3 linked regions of the Drosophila melanogaster genome follow. The protein of the gene in region 3 purifies or fractionates together with the protein of the main gene of each other region. This does not show direct contact. Each region holds a gene or a part of one and is shown on either strand. Other genes may lie near its edges. The genes, in order: Nelf-A, NELF-B and Clamp.

Evidence for each region.
Region 1: the proteins of Clamp (region 3) and Nelf-A purify together in Drosophila melanogaster (affinity purification with western blotting, with the first as the bait; one study listed by BioGRID). This does not show direct contact.
Region 2: the proteins of Clamp (region 3) and NELF-B purify together in Drosophila melanogaster (affinity purification with western blotting, with the first as the bait; one study listed by BioGRID). This does not show direct contact.

Annotation. Positions count from the first base shown.
Region 1 is NT_033777.3:21,221,897-21,229,788, reverse strand, and holds Nelf-A (negative elongation factor A), read right to left. Parts: upstream 6,086-7,892; 5' UTR 5,920-6,085; coding exon 5,710-5,919; intron 5,601-5,709; exon of another isoform or gene 5,200-5,600; intron 5,014-5,199; coding exon 4,759-5,013; intron 4,692-4,758; coding exon 3,285-4,691; intron 3,139-3,284; coding exon 1,975-3,138; intron 1,858-1,974; coding exon 1,426-1,857; intron 1,363-1,425; coding exon 1,207-1,362; intron 1,135-1,206; coding exon 1,003-1,134; coding exon of another isoform or gene 964-1,002; 3' UTR 277-963; downstream 1-276. Other genes in the region: CG3337 (uncharacterized protein), read left to right, coding at 6,256-6,532, 6,595-6,932; Oga (O-GlcNAcase), read right to left, coding at 7,150-7,892. UniProt on the Drosophila melanogaster protein: Essential component of the NELF complex, a complex that negatively regulates the elongation of transcription by RNA polymerase II. Has an essential role in postembryonic development.
Region 2 is NC_004354.4:7,725,496-7,730,111, forward strand, and holds NELF-B (NELF-B), read right to left. Parts: upstream 2,867-4,616; 5' UTR 2,789-2,866; coding exon 2,657-2,788; intron 2,579-2,656; coding exon 1,280-2,578; intron 1,218-1,279; coding exon 864-1,217; 3' UTR 501-863; downstream 1-500. Other genes in the region: hira, read left to right, coding at 1-250; CG12155 (uncharacterized protein), read left to right, coding at 3,696-3,879, 4,167-4,616. UniProt on the Drosophila melanogaster protein: Essential component of the NELF complex, a complex that negatively regulates the elongation of transcription by RNA polymerase II.
Region 3 is NT_033779.5:22,165,137-22,171,131, reverse strand, and holds Clamp (Chromatin-linked adaptor for MSL proteins), read left to right. Parts: upstream 1-1,988; 5' UTR 1,989-2,244; intron 2,245-2,488; 5' UTR 2,489-2,596; coding exon 2,597-2,752; intron 2,753-2,811; coding exon 2,812-3,012; intron 3,013-3,065; coding exon 3,066-3,495; intron 3,496-3,555; coding exon 3,556-3,829; intron 3,830-3,878; coding exon 3,879-4,082; intron 4,083-4,144; coding exon 4,145-4,580; 3' UTR 4,581-5,412; downstream 5,413-5,995. UniProt on the Drosophila melanogaster protein: Transcription factor involved in X-chromosome dosage compensation in males, the process by which transcription of the single X chromosome in the male is elevated. Binds to the DNA sequence (GA)n.

The sequences.
Region 1 (7,892 bases), on a different chromosome or scaffold from region 3:
CACTTTCCAAAATTCCAACCCAGCGGAATTTCAATGTACAATCTTATACATTGTATAAGAGGAATTATTTTCCCAATGATTATTGGTATTACAACTGCTCTTACAGCCAATTTCAAAATTCAATCACATACCACGCCAATAGGTCTTTAGAATTCCACTTGGGCGCAGACCACTTGATAACCAAATTGATCAATTGATCGAGTGTTTGAATATCCGAGTGAGTTGACGTTTGCATGACCTACATTTTCCATAATCAAGCACAAGAGCAGATGTTTTAACATTTAAGCCATAAATACATATGCTAGTTTTATTGTTTGTCTATTACACATTTCAAGATTTAAGTTAATTTTGCTGTGGTGGCTGCGACTCATACATATATATCTAAAACTAAATATATTTTCATTAGATTTCTAATGAATACGAGCGCCGATCAGCGTCTCTAAATTTTATGCTGCTTGGTAAGATAATTACACACTTTTTACTCGACAGCAATTACATAAGCTAGGTATATATATGCAGTTTTAAAATGCATGTGTGAGGCATGTGTGTGTGCCTATGTGATCCGTCCAAACGCTCACTTCTGGCCCATCCGCCTTGCCAACTGCTCTCCAGTGAAGCGTTCAGCCAGAGGTGATTATGCCAGTGTGCTTGGATGAATGGGTGTTTTTATGGATGTACGAACGGGCCTGTTTACTAAATGTTTAAGCGCTAGCCTTTACTACATTCTAAACAACTGTACAGCTAAATTATCTTAATTATAAAATAGTTTCATTATATCCAGCATTTCTTAGGGCGTCTTGCTGACTGCGGGAGGTTGTGGTGAGGGTTTTTAGGAGAGAGGGGGTTTATAATAGCCTAATTAGGGGCGGCAGCGAAGCAGCCCATGCAGAACGGATGACAAATTAAAATACATATTCAACAATCCATATACGCACAAACCAGTTGCAGCCTGGCTGTCCCTGCTCACTTGTTGCTGCGAACTATGCGTATGACCCTTGTGGACTATGAGGCGGCACTCTGGTCCTGCAGCCTGTAGTTTTGGAATGTCTTCCACTCACCGGTGTTGTAGTCCAGCCGGATGTGTGACTCAACCAGGCACAGTGCCGTGTGGCCGTTGTCCTGTTGTACTTTTTCCTGTAACAATTGACATAAAGCATTGAGAATTAACCAAGGCAGAAGCTTGAAATAAATCGCAAATAGCCTTACCTCTGTTTCGCCCAACTTGATGACCAGCACGTTTTCGTTATTTGGGCGCGGGTTTTCCCGCAGACCCGCCATAAATCCAAGGATAAGGGCTTTGTCAGGTCGCGAGACGCGATTTGCCTTGCGGAACATTTCGTGCGCCTTGTGCACGTGTTCGTTCTAGAAGAAACCACAGGACAGGATTGAAATCTAATTTTAAAGAAATATGTGCAATGTTGTTACCGATAGAGAGAGTCCACGTCGCTGGGGTGCCTGCTGCGATTGCTGTTGCGTAGCTTGCTGCTGCTGTGGTTGCTGCTGCTGCTGAGCTTGCACCTGCACCTGCACGGTACGCGGGAGCCCCGCATTCGGATTTCCCTGCTGTCCCTGTCCACCGCTGGTGGTGGAGGTGACCAAACGCTGCTGCAGGGTCGGAGCCGGCTTGTGTTGGACCAGGATTTGTTGCTGCTGCTGGCGCGGCTGCTGTTGCGACGCCGCCGCCGCCGTGTTCGATTGGGTAATAATCGTGCGCTGCGTGCTGCCCGGCGCCGCCTGCACCTGCACCAGCTGCGGCTGCTGGCCCGGCCGTTGAATTAGCGTCAGGCCCTGCGGCAGCGTGGTCAAGCCTCCGCCCACGTTGGTCATAACGGGCCGAATGATGGTCTGCTGTTGGGACTGATAGATACAAATGTGGTTAGATTTTTACATATAGCAACATAGTGGACGTGGGGAAAAGAGATTTACGATTTCTATTGCCAATAATGTTTGGCAAAACATAATTTATACACTTACATTCCCGATGACATTGGTGGGTTGCTGCTGCTGCACAATAACGTGCTGTCCTCCAAGCGAGCTGGTTGGTATGAGAGTGGGCAGGATCTGCTTTCCAGACTGTTGCTGCTGCAACTGTACACCGCTCGAGGGTGTTGTCTTCACCAGACTCGGCGGCCCAGCTGTGGTTGTCATCAGCGTGGTGCCTCCGAGTCCCTGCATGTTGCCCACATTGCTGATTGGTATTTGCTGGTACATATCGCCGCCAATGTTGCGCAGTATAACGCCCTTCTGGGTGAGTATGATGGTCTTGTTCTTTCCGGACGTAGGGGATACGTTCAGAGCGGATACACCACTGGTGCCAACTGCTGCAGTTGGCTGCATTAGAACCTGAGACAACTTGGGCTGCTGCGTGGCCGTCGTATTGGCAACGATCGTGTGCTGTGGATGCGGTTGCTGCTGCTGCAACTGGGCCTGCATATGCTGCTGCTGGGCGGCTTGGGAGGCTGGTTGGATGGTCACTGGTCGATTGGGTAGCTGCACATTCTGAATGTTCAGGGTTGTCTGACCCGGGGAAACTACTGCCGCCGAAGTGGCCACCAATGGCGGAGGATTCGACGACACCACAGCGGTGGCCTGTTGCGGCTGCGCTTGGCGCAGAGGCGTCATCACCACGCTTGAAGAGCCCGATGTCTTTAGCAAAATCTTGGTCGGCGTCTGACCGCTTCCGCTAGGAGTAGTGGCTTGGTAAAGCGTCGTAGTCTGCGGCATAGGCCGACTGTGTGAGAACGAGGTAAGCGTTGGCAAAATGGGCTGTTGCTGTTGTTGCTGCTGTTGAATTTGTTGCGGTTGCTGCTGGGGTGTGGCTAGAATATACTGCGTCTGTTGCTGCTGAGGCTGCTGTGGTAACTGCGCCTGCTGTTGGGTCTGCTGCTGGATTTGCTGGTGTAACAATTGCTGCTGCGACTGTTGTTGCTGCTGCTGTTGCGAAGCGGCCGCTGCACTGGAGGTTCCAGCCTGTTGTTGGGCTCGCTTTGCCGGCTGGATAATAGTCTGCGATATGATCACTGGTCCGCTGTTGGTAGCCGTCTTCAGCTGGCTCAGTGGCATCGTCTTTATGGCTTGCGACGGTATCGTCGTGGTAGTTGTGGCGGAGGTACTGCTACTAGGCAAAGCCAAAGCCTTCTGCAACCGAAGAATTAAGTTAATTAGCAAAGAGGGACTAAGTTTCATTATGGCAGGTGATAGAATTTCAAATATTTGTCCAGGAAAATTAAAGAAATTCCTAACTAAAAGTTCTCCAATAGAGCTACGCATAATTTTATACTTACCGCTCTCTGAGCGCTGGGCGAGGACGCCAAGATCACGGGTGTGGAGCTGTTAATCAAAAGCGGGGGATGCGACTGCTGAGGCGCCTGCTGAACCTGCAACGTTTGCGGCTGCTGCGACTGAGTCTGGCTGCCACTGGATGTTGCCGCTGCTGCAGCTGCCGCTTTCGCCTTGGCAGAGGTTATCTTCACGGAGATATTGTTGGGCAGATTGGCCAACGGATTGGCCGCCTGACGCAGTTGCTGCGGGGTAAGAAGTGTAGTCGTAGTGCCCGCACTCGTCGAAGGCGAGACACCGGTGGCGCGTATCATTGGCTTGATGTCCAGCTTCTCCATCTTGATGGTGGTATTGCCCACAGTGGTTGTGGTTGTGCCTGCACTCGTGGTTGCCCCGTTGTTCTGCCGCTTCTGCGGCGAACTGCGGATAAGCAGGTGCGGGGTGCGCTGCACCAAACTAGGCGGCTGTTGCTGGATACTGACGCGTTGGGTCGACGGTGAAGTTTCGATCTTTTCGAGTTTGATGCTGGCGGGTACTATGATCTCCTCGCTCTTGATCTCTATTTCCTGCTTGATTCGTTTTGGGGTGTGATTGAAGCTGTTGTTGTTGTTGTTGTTGTTGTTGTTGTTCAGTTTTGCTGCGGATTTCGGAGTTCGCGGCGTCTTCAGCTTCGTTTCTACTGCTGGTTTTCCCGGTTGACCATCCGCCACGGACGTCGAAGTGGCCTGGGCAAAGTCCAGCGTGGCTGTAGCGTACTCCGGCGTCTCGATATCGCATTCCATATTCGCTTTGCCAGACATCTCATCGTCTTGCGGCTCTTCCAGGCTTCCAGCGCTCTGGTTGAGTTGCTGCGGTTCCATTTTGATTTCGAAGCTGTTGTTAGCTGACGTGGGCGTGACGGGTGTTTCGCCTCCACTGGCAGTCGCCGCGTCCGTTGGTGAGCTGTCACCAGCATTGCTTGCCGCTGCTGTGGCGGCCGCAGCTGCCGCTGCAGCTGCCTGTTGCTGTTTCTGCTCCTGCTTCTTTTGCTGCTCTTCCAGTTGCTGCTCGCGCTTTCGCTTCTTAGCCGCCGCATAACCCAAGGGCTGTTCGGTGAATTCGATCAGTTTAATGCCACCGTCTTTGCGTCCAGCAGGCGTTCGACTGAGATTGGGGCGCTGGGCGGCATTTCCCGGCACGGTGGCCGAACGGAACCCAGTGGTGGGCATGCGAGATGGGATTCCCTTCAGCGGGGTAGTGTCTGTCATCTTACGTGGCATGCCACGCGATCGCAGCGGTATTGTGGGGGCCGAGGCCTTCTTCAGCGAGGACTGCGCATCGGCTGACTTGTGTAACAATTCGGTGCGCAACTGGGCGCTCTTCGGCTTGCGCTTCAGCGTAAAATGCTTGACGGGAGCGGGTTGCTGGCCCACCTGAATTAAACAAGAAAAAATTATTAGTTCAAAACAGGTAAGATTTAGTAAGTTTGTCTATACCCACCACTGAGATCAGTGCGTTTTTATTTAGGTACTGGCACTCCAGAGGCAGCATGCCGAGGTCCGAATGCTTTGTGACCAGCTTGCGCAGGTCGTTGACCATGTCTATGAAGATGGGACGCGTGTCCTCGTAATCGGAGATCTCGGTGTTGAGCGAACTGGTCGCCGGAAAGGTCTTCATCGTCTCCGCCAGCATGGAAACCCATAGCTCTGAATCCAGGCCGGCTACCTCGATCACCTCCTCAAGTTCCGCCTTCCACTGCAAATTGCAATCAAATCAACAATGGGTTGGGTTGCATAAATAAATTGACAACTCGATGCTCAAATACACTTTCAGGTAATAGATACAATGAATATTTACGATCTGGTAGTCCTGGTATGATCGATTAAATACAGATTTTAATTACACTATAACGGCACGTTGCAAATCAAATAAAAAATCAATAGTTATTTGTATTTATACTTGGTCTACCAGCTCAGCAGCCTGGAGATACAAATGTATCTTTTAACTGCGATGTCAAACGTCTGATAAAATTCGAATTGCTCTGTGGGAAGGGCACAACAAACAAATGAATCCGCGGCCACCCACAACAGCCCACTCACACATGAACACACCGAGGCACACGGGAGAGAAATCCACGCACAAGTGTCGGAGAGAGAGAAATGTGTACACAAAAGCAGAAGTGGCGGGAAACGTTGCTAATATTTATTTTCACCAACCCGCGAAATCGCCCGGGGGGGAAATGTTAAAAGGCGAAGAAATGTGCTTTGGGGTCCGCCAGGTGATGGGATCTAAGAGATTTTCCGAGTATTTAAAAATTGTCCGCACTTTTTGTTTCAACAACGGTAAGTGTACTCCGTGTACGTGTGCGCGCGGGCCGCAGTATGCGTGCGTATGCACTGGTGTACTTTTTCCATACACCAACGCCATTTCAATTCATTGGATTTCATTTACCTCCTCCACCAGACGGCGCGGGATGTGAAGGAAGCTGAGTAGGAGCTTCAGTTTGACCTGCGTTTGCAGATCGGGGAAGCATTCCTTGATGTTGCGCAGCACCTCCTTGTTCAGCTGCGAGCAGATGGAGCCGTTTATCCACGAGTCGTTCGAGGTGCCCAGTTTATTATGCAGCCACAGTGATGTGTCGCTGTCCCTTACGTTCGCCATTTTTTCGAATTACGCCTGTCCGCACGCGGGGCACACACTGCAATTTATGCCAAACGTTGACCCGCCCTGTTGCACGGCACTATTTGATGGCGTTTTTCACTTTCTGCCGCGCTGCACGTCAACAAGACACACGAAAAATCCTTCGAAAAAATTGTAATAGGAAGCGCACGCACACATCAAACGCACGAAAAAAGTGTTGCCACATGTCAAACAGTGTGCACGGTCCAGTGGTGCAAAACGCCGTTGTAACAGCGCCCCCTGCAGGGCTACCAGCTATCGATAAATAATCGCTGAATACTAAGCAATTGAGGTAAACATGAATTTCTGATAATAGAAATGGAACTCCTCAACGAATCTGCTCCGAATCCGCTTGCCAAGACGCCGAAAAGTGGCATGTCCACGGGCGGCAAGATCCTGATAGCAGCAACGGGCGGAGTAGGTATCGGTCTGTCGATTGTGTGCGCCTCCTTTGTGGCGCCTGCATTCCGGAGGATTTGCTTGCCTTATGTGCCAGCGACGACCGAGCAAATACAGAACGTTCTCAGCTTCCTGCCCAAGAATTCGGCCGGAAAACTGCTGGACATTGGATCCGGCGACGGACGGATTGTAGTGGGTAAGTACGCTTCACCTAGTCCATTTAAAAACATTGCAGATAACTTATGTAATTCTTTCCAGCTGCGGCACAGCATTGTGGTGCTCTAAAAGCAGATGGCGTGGAGCTAAACCCATGGCTGGTCTACTACTCGCGCCTGGCCGCGCTGCGTCACAGCGTTTCCAAACGGACGAGATTTTTTCGGCGAGATCTCTGGAAGTTCGATATAAAGGACTACAACTTCGTGGTCATTTTTGGGGTTGAGCAGATGATGCAAGATCTAGAACACAAACTCATTGCTGAGTGTCCGCACAACACCAAGATTATCGCCTGCCGCTTTCCACTACCCAGCCTAGAGCACGTGAAGATTATAGAGGACGGAGTAAACACCGTCTGGTTCTACGACCTGAACAAAAGCTAGCAAAAGTTTTATTAAATTGGTATTTTTATTGTTTTTCTCAGTAAGAAAACAATGCTTACGATAAATGCTGGAAGGGTTGGTCAGTTATACAAACTTTATACCTCAAGGGAATACAAAAAGGACGAGGACATGACGTGAGTAGCTAGCACCGCTAGCCGGAATACCAAAGATGAAGGAACATTAAAAGTGGAGGCAGTGAAGGTGGCAACCAGCTACGCTAGAAACGGCGACCCATGTAAATACACTTGGTGGCCTCCTCGCGATAGACATCCACGAAACCGATTCTGGAATAAAAGTTCACCTGGGCGACATCTTGTTGCGGAACGCGAACGTGAGCACCAAAGCAGCCGTTCGCACGCAGGGCGGCCAGAAGTACGGTGAGCATCCGCTTGGTTATTCCCGAGTCGCGCTCCTCCGCTTCGCGCAAAGTTCCGGAGATCAACACGGCAGGGAAGGAGCCGCTCACCTCTACGGGACACTGGTCCAGAGCCCCGTTACCGCTGCTGTCATGATAACTCTCCACAAGGGAGGTGACGAGCTGTACAACCTCCTCGCCACCCTCCAGTGGACAAATATCTCTAGAGTACTTCTCACGCAGTTCCGTGTACCAGCACAGCTCCAGGTTGCGTCGAAATATGTTGACATCCAGGGCGGCGCATGAATATCCAATGATACGGTTACTCTCGTCGTAGGCCACAATGCACAGTTGCGGACTGAGGGTGAGATATCCACCGATCAGCCCATCCGCCACAATGTTTGGCACATTCGCCGGCAGCGGGAACGGAATGTGCCTGCCTCCGTCCAGCTCTCCCCGCCACTGCAAATACAGGCGAGTGCACAAATCGTTGACTTGCTGTTCGTCCGAATTGCAGTAAGGTCTCAAGAGATAGTAGTTGGCCGTGGGCTGTTCCGGAAGCTTGTACACGAACAGGTCGTTGCCCGAGTCCACAGGCATCAGGC
Region 2 (4,616 bases), on a different chromosome or scaffold from region 3:
ATCATCCACGTCATCGCTGTCTGTGCCACAGCCAGCTCCTAGTCTCTCGCCAGAGATTCAAACTCTAGACTCGCCCACCGTTTGCATAGATGATGAGATTTTGTCGGCCTCATCTTCACTACCTCCGTTGGATACCTCTCCCGTGGAAGTTTCGCCAGCGTCCACGTCCGGTGGGGCTGCTTCCACATCTCCGGCCGCTTCCGTAGCGGGATCAGCTCCAGTTTCCAGTTCCAAAACAGATCAGACATGAGACGAAAGACTCCTATCCCTAATAAACCTCCTAAATTGTGTGTATTTCCCTAAGCTATAAGCGTTAAAAAACTTTTATACCGAAATTTATTAGGATCTTTCAATTATCCATGTCCGTAAGAAACTCCAGTTATGTAAATCATTAAATTTGAGTAAAGATGAGTTAAAAGTTGAGTATGTGATTACAGAAACTGGTACCGGGAACCAATATTTCTTTCAAAAACCCTGATGAAACTAAAAGACATTGCCTTAGATTTGTACTCTATATTGTGTACTAGAATCGATCGTTACACTAGCGTAACAGTAATATATAATATATATAATAGCCAGCGACAACTGATTGATGCCTGCCAACAAAGCCATACATTCTGTAAATATGTAAACTATATCCGATTGCTCGGTCGCAGTGCTTTATGTTTAGTCTAAACAGTAGAATTATTATTTGCGCAAGCATGCTAATTGGGGATTGCCATCCGGTCGGCTGCTCCAGAGAAGTATATGAGGTAGCCACATACATGGCCTCCGATCATCATCATCAACATCAACATCATCATCACAAATAACCATCATCATCCGACGACAGCCGCAGGTGGTGCGACTGCCGGTGCCTCTAGCTATTGGACATTATAGTGCGGTCCTGGCGTTGGCACACTCTTTAGCGGCGAATCAAACTCCATGGGCGGCGCTTCAATGACCGGCGTCTCCGCCGCCCCGGTGCCGATTCTCTCCTGCAGAATTTCGTACAACTTGTGGATGTGCTCGTTGTGGGCCGTCGTCGGCTGCATAGCCTTCATCAATGTGGCCAAACGACCGGCGGGCAGCTTATTGTGCACATACCACAAAAGTTTCAGCATGTGACGAGAGGTCACATTCTCGCGCGTCAGTCCGGCAAAGATGAACTCGTCGAAGAGCGTGGTGCAGAAGTCCTCCGTGGCAAACTCTTCGCTCATGGGGATGAGCAGGGCAATCTGTAGAGGTAAGCAATCGAGTCAGAAAAGTAAATATTAGAAAAGCAGCTATAAATGCTAACCAGAGAGTGCAGGAAGGGATCCTCATATGCGCGGTCGTCTTTGCAGGCGGACAGAATGGCCAAGACGCGCAACACGCCCACGCGATCCTTCAGGCGCGCCGTGTGCAGCGTATAGTACATGGCCAATATGCTGGCCACGGAACTCTCTTGAATGTACGCCTCCACGGCATCCGGTGCCGGTCCCGAATGCTCGATGGTGGTCAGAGCAGATTCACGCTCGTCCGGCGGTAGTTTCGCGTGCAAGCTGCGGCACTGGTCGTCAACCATTAACGACATGAGGGCGGGCAAAAACTTGGTGACCACCTGGCAATCAAGTTTGGGCTCCTTAAAGTCTTGCGAATCGATCATCACCCAGGCACTCAAGCCCAAGGCCAACATTCTCAACAACAGGATGAGTATCTGATTGTCACGCGGCATGCCCTCGTTGTTGATCAAGTGATGCAATATCTTGATGGCCGACGTGGCCAAAAAGTTGATGGCATACGGATCGCACAAAGTCATGGACAGATCGCCCAGAACCTGCTCCTGACCGCGCTTGATGTTGTCAAGAAATCCCTGGAGCTCCCGTGAACGTTTAATGTCCACATTCTTCTCCCTTATGCAGGCGTCCAGGCACCAGGTGAACTTGTGACAGGGATCTATCGAGATGATCTCCTGCACCTCGAGATCGTGTAAGGCCATCAGTAGCTCTGCACGCAGCGTGCAATAGTGAACATTGCGGGTGCGCAGGAATAGAGTGCGCAGGAACTGCAGCACCATATCGTACAGCTTGACACTGGTGCCAATCATGTTGGCCAACTTTTGGACTACTTCCCCCTGCCTTCGCACCTTGGGCGTTGGGTGGAAGAACAGATTGTTCAAGTTGGTGTGATCAAACAGGATGTGCTCCTTCTCGCGAATATATTGTGAGAGGAGAGGCGACACCTCGTCACCAAACAACGATTGATTATCACGCCATATCTGCCGCTTAACTTCCGTATCCGTGTCCGCATACAGTTCCCGATCCCTTACAAGGATTTTGAGGTACTTGTCATCGATGTGCTGGGTATTCCTCAATATGGCCATGACCACGGGCCGCAGCGACTTCACCCGAACGACGGGGAAGCTCTTAACGAGCAGCTCCTTGAGCTTCTTGTCCCGCTCCCGGGGCTCCTTTTGGCCCATCTCGTTGATGTGAGCTATCAGCTTGTCGCGCAGCTCCTCCATCAGCGAGGTATGAAAGTCCAGTCGACGCACGCCGTGCAAATCGAGTAAAGGCAACATGGGGCGCAGTGAAGGCAGCAATACACCATTCTCAAGCTAAAAAGGCAGGTGATATTTGGATAAATAAGCCCACCGAACTTTTGGCGCCCATTTTTCGGTGCAACGTAAACAAACCTGAAAACTCTCGATGGCCTTCAAGGGATCAGTGCAGGAGGTCAGGGCCTCGCGCAGATAGGCCTGACCCGGAATATTCACGTCCTCCAGTCCAGTTCCATTGTTATTTTTCGCCGGTGTGCTCATTATCATGCAATTCGTCGGCAAATTGAGCAAAACAAGACACGAAGCTACACAATTGTGTTGTTTTTTATTGCTAGCGAGGAGACAAAAAAATAAGCGCAGGCTTGCACATGTGCGGTGTTATCGATAGTGCACGTATCAGCACGGCTTGTAATAGCCAACTTTGTATGTTTAACATGTAGTTATTAATATTATTTTGCCAACAAATAGTTGTATTATTATTATTGGTAGAATGGTAAATGTTACAAAAATTAATAAAGATAATAAAAAAAAATTATATGGGCCACAAATACAATATAAGTCTAATTTCTAATAGTGTTGGTAAAAAAACTGAACTCAAAAAATAAAAACCTTTAATTAGTTTGCCTTAGAACATCATTCCCATACGACTTAATTGTATAAGAACGTAACTTTTAATTGAGGATTATAAATACAGGGAAACGGACTTTTGCTTTTCAGTGACGGCGAAAGAGAACGCCAATTCCGCGATGTGTCATCCCTAGCGCGAAATAAGCAACAGCAAAAACAGCCAAAAGCAAAGCAAGAGCATCAAGTGCAGTCAAATTCGCACAATTGGAGCTGAACGCCAAGGACAAGGCGTCTCGATTCTTGCCGAGATTCGTGCCCCGTAGCGACTACAAAGGAGATCCTGCTGCACACAGTCGCTATCCTTTGCATCGAGTGTGCGAGAGTGTGTGCGTGCGTGTTCCTACACCTACATAAGCTGGTGTTTGGCTCCGTTCAAGTGCGCTTGTGTATGTGTTTGTGCGTGCATTTCGACGAGAACGAAAGCCTCTCTTTTCGTGGGTAAACAAAAACAAAACACCTGAATGTGAGGAGCAGCATTGGTATCGGGATAAGGATCATCAGGATTTGGGAGAGCACAACAGTGGAAACCCACAGAAGCTGAAGCAACATGTCCTCGTCGACGCAAGAGCGCAAGCGCTACCACAAGGACAACGCGCCCACGGACGACATCCTTACGCTGATCAACCTGGTGCGCCAGAATCCGGTTCTCTACAACTACAAACTGCAGCCGAACCAGCGACGCCGCTCCGATGTCCTCAACGGATGGCAGGAGGTGGCCCAGCAGATAGGAAGTGAGTGCTAGTCATGGCCTGCTTCATGTCCGACTATTAGCCTTCTTCCAGAATTAATATAAGCTTCCGCTAAAGTTGGTTTTAAATACCACATGCATATTGTATTGATAGGCTAGTGTTCTGGCGCCGGCTACTATAACACAACTCATAATTTCATCGTTACTTAGAAACGTTTTCATAAATGTGATGCCTTTGAAGAGGTTCTAGCTTGTATCAATTATCTGTAAAAGGAATACGATTCCTTTGAAACCCCGCTCATATTTATACTACCTCTTTCTTTCTTCCAGACAAGTACACGGTGCAGGAGGTGCGTCGTAAGTGGAAGAACCTGCGGGACACTTTCCACCAGTACCGTCTGCGCACGCCCAAGTACATCGAAGGGCGGCTATCCAAGTGGCGCTACGCCAAGGAGCTGGACTTCCTGTCGAAGGTGTACCAGCCGAAACTGAAATCGCACCGGAACACACAGATCACCTATGAGACGAGTGGGGTTGCCGGCGCCGGTGGAGGCATTGGAGGCGCGAATAGTACCACATTGCCCATTGGAGCTATGCTGCATTTGAAACAGCATGTGGACGATGACGACGACGAGGTGATGGACGATGACGGGCAATCGGATCACGATACCGCCACGCTCTCCTCACATCACGGCACCTCGCAGATCACCCTGGTCAGCGATGAGGCGGAAACCTTCATCCTGACCGCCTACGAGGAGGGCGTCTCGGATGACACTGTAT
Region 3 (5,995 bases):
ATTTTTACTCAATAACGGAACGATTTCCATGAATTTCATTACTCTTAACTCATTCTTAACATAACGGTTCAAAAACATAATTTCGGTTACATTCAAATACTGCGTTAGATCTACTCAATCTCCGACATACATATGTATATTAAGCCGATATAAAACACATGCGGTTTGAACACAGAATAAAAGCGGGAAAGATATATATCTTAATGTAAACACATAATTAATTTCTAATTTCTTTTACATCACAAGCAGCTAAACAGATATACATATATTTCATTTAAGTTCTATTACCACCAAATTATTTTTAAATAAGAGAGAACGCTTAAGCAAATTTGTTGGACATTGAGATACCGTTTACACAGCCAGAAGGAATGCAAAATATAAACAATGAAAACAAAAAGTTTTGGGTGTTGAATTGGTCGTGGCGAAATAGTTCAAGCATATCAATACAAATTATCAAGAAAAACAACTTAATTTTTTAAGATAAAGAACTTTTCAAAAGTATACGAACAGAAGGATTGGTAGCCGAAGACAAGAATATAAGCACGTTATAATGCCCGAAACGCTTCCTTCCGTTCCTTCTGACATAATTTTTTCCAAAACCATACACATAATCGTTCGAAATCACTACCATAAAACTTGTCTTTTCATTCCTCAAAAATAGCTAATAAATAAGCTTACTATCTCAAGACATTCCCTTAAATGCTGTTGTCATAAAAAACATTTGACCACGTTGGTTGCCTTGCCAACACTAATAAATTTTTGAATTTGGGCGCCGAGAGTATTTAAATCTTTTGGAAGCTGAAATTTTCCAACACCAAACAGGACTCGCAGAACTTTGTTCATCCAGGATCTTAAGCTCAAAACCAAAACGTATGCGAATTAAAATTGCTGCTATTTAATTATTTAAAAGAATAGTTTTTATTTTTTATTAATTAATATTTATTCGGCGACAGACTTCCTCACTTATACTATTACAAGACACTTTATTACTAGCTTATCTTTGATTTGAAGCTGTTCACGATCTCGTCCCGACTCAGACTGATCTTCTAAATCTTAATCCTAATCCACTCAACCTCGGCCAGAAGCTTTTCTTTAGGATTCTCTTAAGCTTTTTAATATGTTTAGGATAAAAGCTTTACACTGAAATTATTTCCCAGCATTGTGAAATTCAAATTTGCTGACTGACGCAGTTTGACTGAAGCGCAATAAGTTGACCATGGCTTGGTCTCCAAGTGGAAGTTGTGTTTACTTTAAGTTTGGTTATATATCGGGTGGCTAAGTGTTGGCGTCAAAAACAAGGGCAAAGGCAACGCTGCTGAGATTGGAGTTAGAAATTTGTTTAGCTTTTGGTAGAGTGCTATATTTATGGGTTGGATAACTTGCGTCACTACGTGGGGCATAAAAAATCTGTTGTCCCTTAACTCACTCCCCTACATCGAGTGATAAAGATAAATAGGAATTCCTAAAAGATTTAAGTATACAAAAATAAGTACGTTTTATATGGAATCTTTAAGAATTAGTTAAAAGTCGAGTGCCTGTAAAATTTCGTTATCTTATGGAATTTGTTATCAACCATGGCCCATGATCTTACCAAAGACACTAGAATATTCTAGTGTCTTTGCTCTTACAGTGTTACCTTAGCTTGTAGAATATTAAAAGTTAAGTCTCAATAAATTTAAAACGTGTTTTTAACGCAGCTCAGCACAAGATATTTCTTTTCGAAAGCTAGTAACAGCCAGATTCTACTGATCGTAGCGTTTGCCTTTTGAGTAAGAGACAACATGTAAGACAACATGTGATGTAATCCAAATTACGAAGTACAAAACGTATATAAAAATATTTATGTTTTCTGAGTTATCGAATTAGTGTAAAAGGGCTCTAAGAAATCCTACCAGTTCTTTGTGAATTTTGGTATATTTTCGAGGGAAATGATTATTTTCATGAGTCGTGAAACGGTCACACTTTTAAAAAGTAAAACTGCTGCTCGTCTGCTCTATCTCTGAGCGTTGTTCTGTCTCCATCTCTCTTTAGCAATCGTAAAAAATGATGGACTGAAAGTTAAAGTGCTGGAATTTGTTAGAAAAAGATAACACTATTTAAATATATATCTTGTATTATTCCAAACAATATATCGTTAAAATACGTTATCAATTCACGAATACAATTTTACACCACTCAAATCTTAACAATTTTATTGTGGAGCAGGCAGTGCGCAATTTATGGTGTGGTCCGGTTGCGTAAAAGGTAATTTTAATAATGAAAAAAATAACACATGTAGTGTAATATTGTATGATAAAAAAACAAATGTGCTAGACTCCAGTTTAGATACTAGAGTCTGTTAATGTAAAGAGCTGCTGCATTAAACGTTCGTCTGTGTATGTTTTGTGTCGCGTATGTACATATTTTTTGTCTCACCGTCGCCATTTTTAATCAGTCGTTTTCGCTGGGTTCCTATGGCACTATATTCATCTCTTTTTCTCTTTTATAGAATTAGCGTCGCGTGATGCAGTGTTGAAAAGCGCGACAGAGCTGCAGTAAATAAAAGGCCAACGTATGATAAAAGTTAATTTTTGAGCATACTCGAATTTTGGGGACCATGGAAGACCTTACCAAAAACATTATCTTCACAAATGCCATTAATGGGCAACCGGCCACAATTCAATACCAGACGGCGGATGGCACCATTCTTAAACAGCCCAAAATAGAGGGCCAAAAAACGGAGCAGCAGCCTACCTTCTATTACACGACAAATGTAAGTAGTTTACTTACTATATGTTATTGGTGCTGACTTTTCATATTGTCTTCACATAGGGCAATGGCGGTACCGTCAATCTCGCACAGCTGGCCACCACAGACGACAATAAGACGTGTTATATAGCCCAGCCCGTGGGCGGATACAATTACGCCCTGGTCAACGGAATGCCTCTCAATCAGGGTGCAGCTCTTGGCATCGCCACGGTAGACGCACAAGGCCGCATCCAGATTGTCAATCAAAATAAGCCAATTGCAGCTGTATGTAAAAGGAAGACTCGTTAAGCAAAGCCTAAAGATTTTCTTCTTTGCAGAACACCATATCCAACATAAGCTTTAAGTGTGACGTATGTTCAGATATGTTCCCTCATTTGGCACTTCTTAATGCTCATAAGCGGATGCATACAGACGGGGAACAGCAGCAACAACAGCAACATAACGCCCAAGCGGGCGGCGATTCTATTGCCGTGGTCAGCGCGCAGGGGCTTGTGCAGGCACAGAACATTATTGGAAATGGTCAGATGGGCCAGATACAGATTGTGTCTTCTGACACGCTGGAGCCGGTTCAGCAATCTGTAATGCAGCAGCAGCAACATGAGTCAAAGGCAAGCAAGTGCATAAATTGTGGAAGCTCTATGCTGCAGCAGTCCAAACGCAAAGGTCCAAAGCAGGTGCGCTGCGAGTCCTGCATGCAGGCTGAACAAACAGCGCAACAACAACAGCAGCTCTTCGTCGCCCAAGACGGTAGTTGTGAAAGATTACATTCTAAATGGACCATAACTAACTTCATCGCATCTTTTGCAGGTCAAATGGCGCATCCCGTGCAAATCATATCAACGACTCCTCAGGCCCAAGCACAACTTCAGCAAATTGTGGCTGCACAGACTGGCGGTACAACGCCAAAGCGAGAGGCGAGCAGTGGGTCTGGCCATCATCCTGTGAAAAAACGAAATTCCCAGCAGATGACCAAATGCCAGAAATGCAATGGCTCCGGCGTGGTGCTAGTGGGGCAGCACTCCCATGCTTCACACAGCGGGGTGGGCGGATCGGTAAAGCAATCAGTTACTGTTAAAACTGAGTGAGTATAACATGAAATTGCAACCTTATCCTACGCTAACAAAACCAAGGTGTTTGTCCTGCAGAAATCCGTCCAAACCCTTCAGTTGTAATATATGTGGTGGTCTGTTTTCACGTTACTCAAGTCTGTGGTCCCATAAAAAGCTGCACAGCGGTGAAAAAAACTACAAGTGCAGCATCTGTGGATTGGCCTTTGCTAAAGCCGTATATTTGAAAAACCACGCGCGCATTCATACAGGCGAGAAACCCTATAAGTAATACCAATCTTCTACTTGAAATTATACTCTTTATACTAATTACCGTTATCTTTACATAGATGCCAAACCTGCGGCATGCAGTTTTCACAGTCACCACACCTCAAGAACCATGAACGCACGCACAGTGGCGAGCGGCCCTATGTGTGCGGTGTTTGCGACAAAGGATTTGCGCGCCACGCTACTCTTTGGAATCATAGGCGCATTCACACGGGCGAAAAGCCATACAAGTGTGAAATTTGTGGATCGGCCTTTTCTCAGGCGGCGCACCTTAAGAACCACGCAAAGGTGCACTCCGGAGAAAAACCCTACAAGTGCGAGATTTGCTCTGCAGCATTCGCTGATCGTTTTGCACTCAAGCGTCACCGCGGCATACACCAAAAGTACGGCCAAACTGCTCCTCGCCAGACCAGCAGCGATGGGATGATAGTGCATAAGCAGGAGATTCCTGACATGGAGGATGAGGCCCAACAGGAAGTGATTATCGGTGGGTTATAGATAGTTTAAATGCAGAGGTGACAGGCAGCTTAATGAAGTCACAGACACTGGAGTCCACCCTGCTTAGCTTCAGTTTATCGAGCGTTACTATGATCATCTGCCTCCACCTATGCTAGCCCCAGAACCATCTCTAAGGGCGCATATATCACCACAATGATATTAAAGAATAGAAAACGATGTTCCATCGTTAACACTTCAGCTGCATATGTCCTTTCTCCACTTTCATGTGGGATCTTCAAAAATGGGCGAAACCCAAAAACGCTTTTTACGATAAGCATACAAATGAACCTAATTTATTTGATAGCTTGTATAATATACTTAAACATCTTTAAACATTAAACGCATATATGTATAGGCATCGTATTTATAAGTGTTATAGGCTATTCTCTTATACAAATTGTAGGTGTAAAATATGGATTTATTAGGTGACGATACGAGCAAATCCGATACGTATGAATATGCACAGGTAATAAACACACACATATAAGTTGAAAGTTGTAAGCTTAAATATATTTTAATTAAATCTATCTAATATAAGTATGTATTAAATAATGCATAAAATCAAATAAATATTTGAATAAAATACAATTTTTTACTAACCTACTCCATTTGCAAGTGCCTTAACGAAGAATAGAGGGATCCCAGAAATAGGCACATTTTCCACCGTTTTCGACGTCTTATGCGTTTTTTTTTTATTAATGTAAGCACCATTTCACTTTAAATATAATTTTTTTAGTGTTTTGCCACGTTCATCTTATTCTTACGTGAAGCTATAAGGTCAGTAAATTTTAATGTTGGCAATAATATAATTAATAAATACACAAAACTTTAAATATTCATAGACGTAAAAGAGTAAAATAAAGTTAAAATTTATCGAAAATTAGATGATGTGAATTACTGCTGTCTTTTCAAAAAAATTAGAGCTGTTGATTTGTAAAATGGACGCACTCTTTTAAACTTCTTATATTTATATTTTTGCGTATTATCTGTTAAAAATAAAATATTTTTACATATTTAAAGTAAAGTTGTGAAGTGGCAACGAATTTTTTACAATAATCAAAACCAAGTGTTTAAGAATTAGGATTCATGGCTTGTATAATAAAGCTTTAAATTACTAGAATTCGCCATCAGTTAAATCAAGATAAATACGTATACGTATACATTTGCGAACATGGACTTTGCTTAGGGTCCATTTTTGAATTTGCGGTCATTACAAACTTATATTCATATGTATATAGGATTATTCAAGAATGAATACATTTTAGTTACACGGGATTGTAGTTTTGTTTCTTTTAATGTCAACTGGTTTGCATGCACTATGCAATCATGATTATATAGGAAGATCTGTGTCTGTGGTTGGTCCACTTTTTATTTAATATTTCTGCTACAGCTTAAAAACTAAATCGTTACAAAGT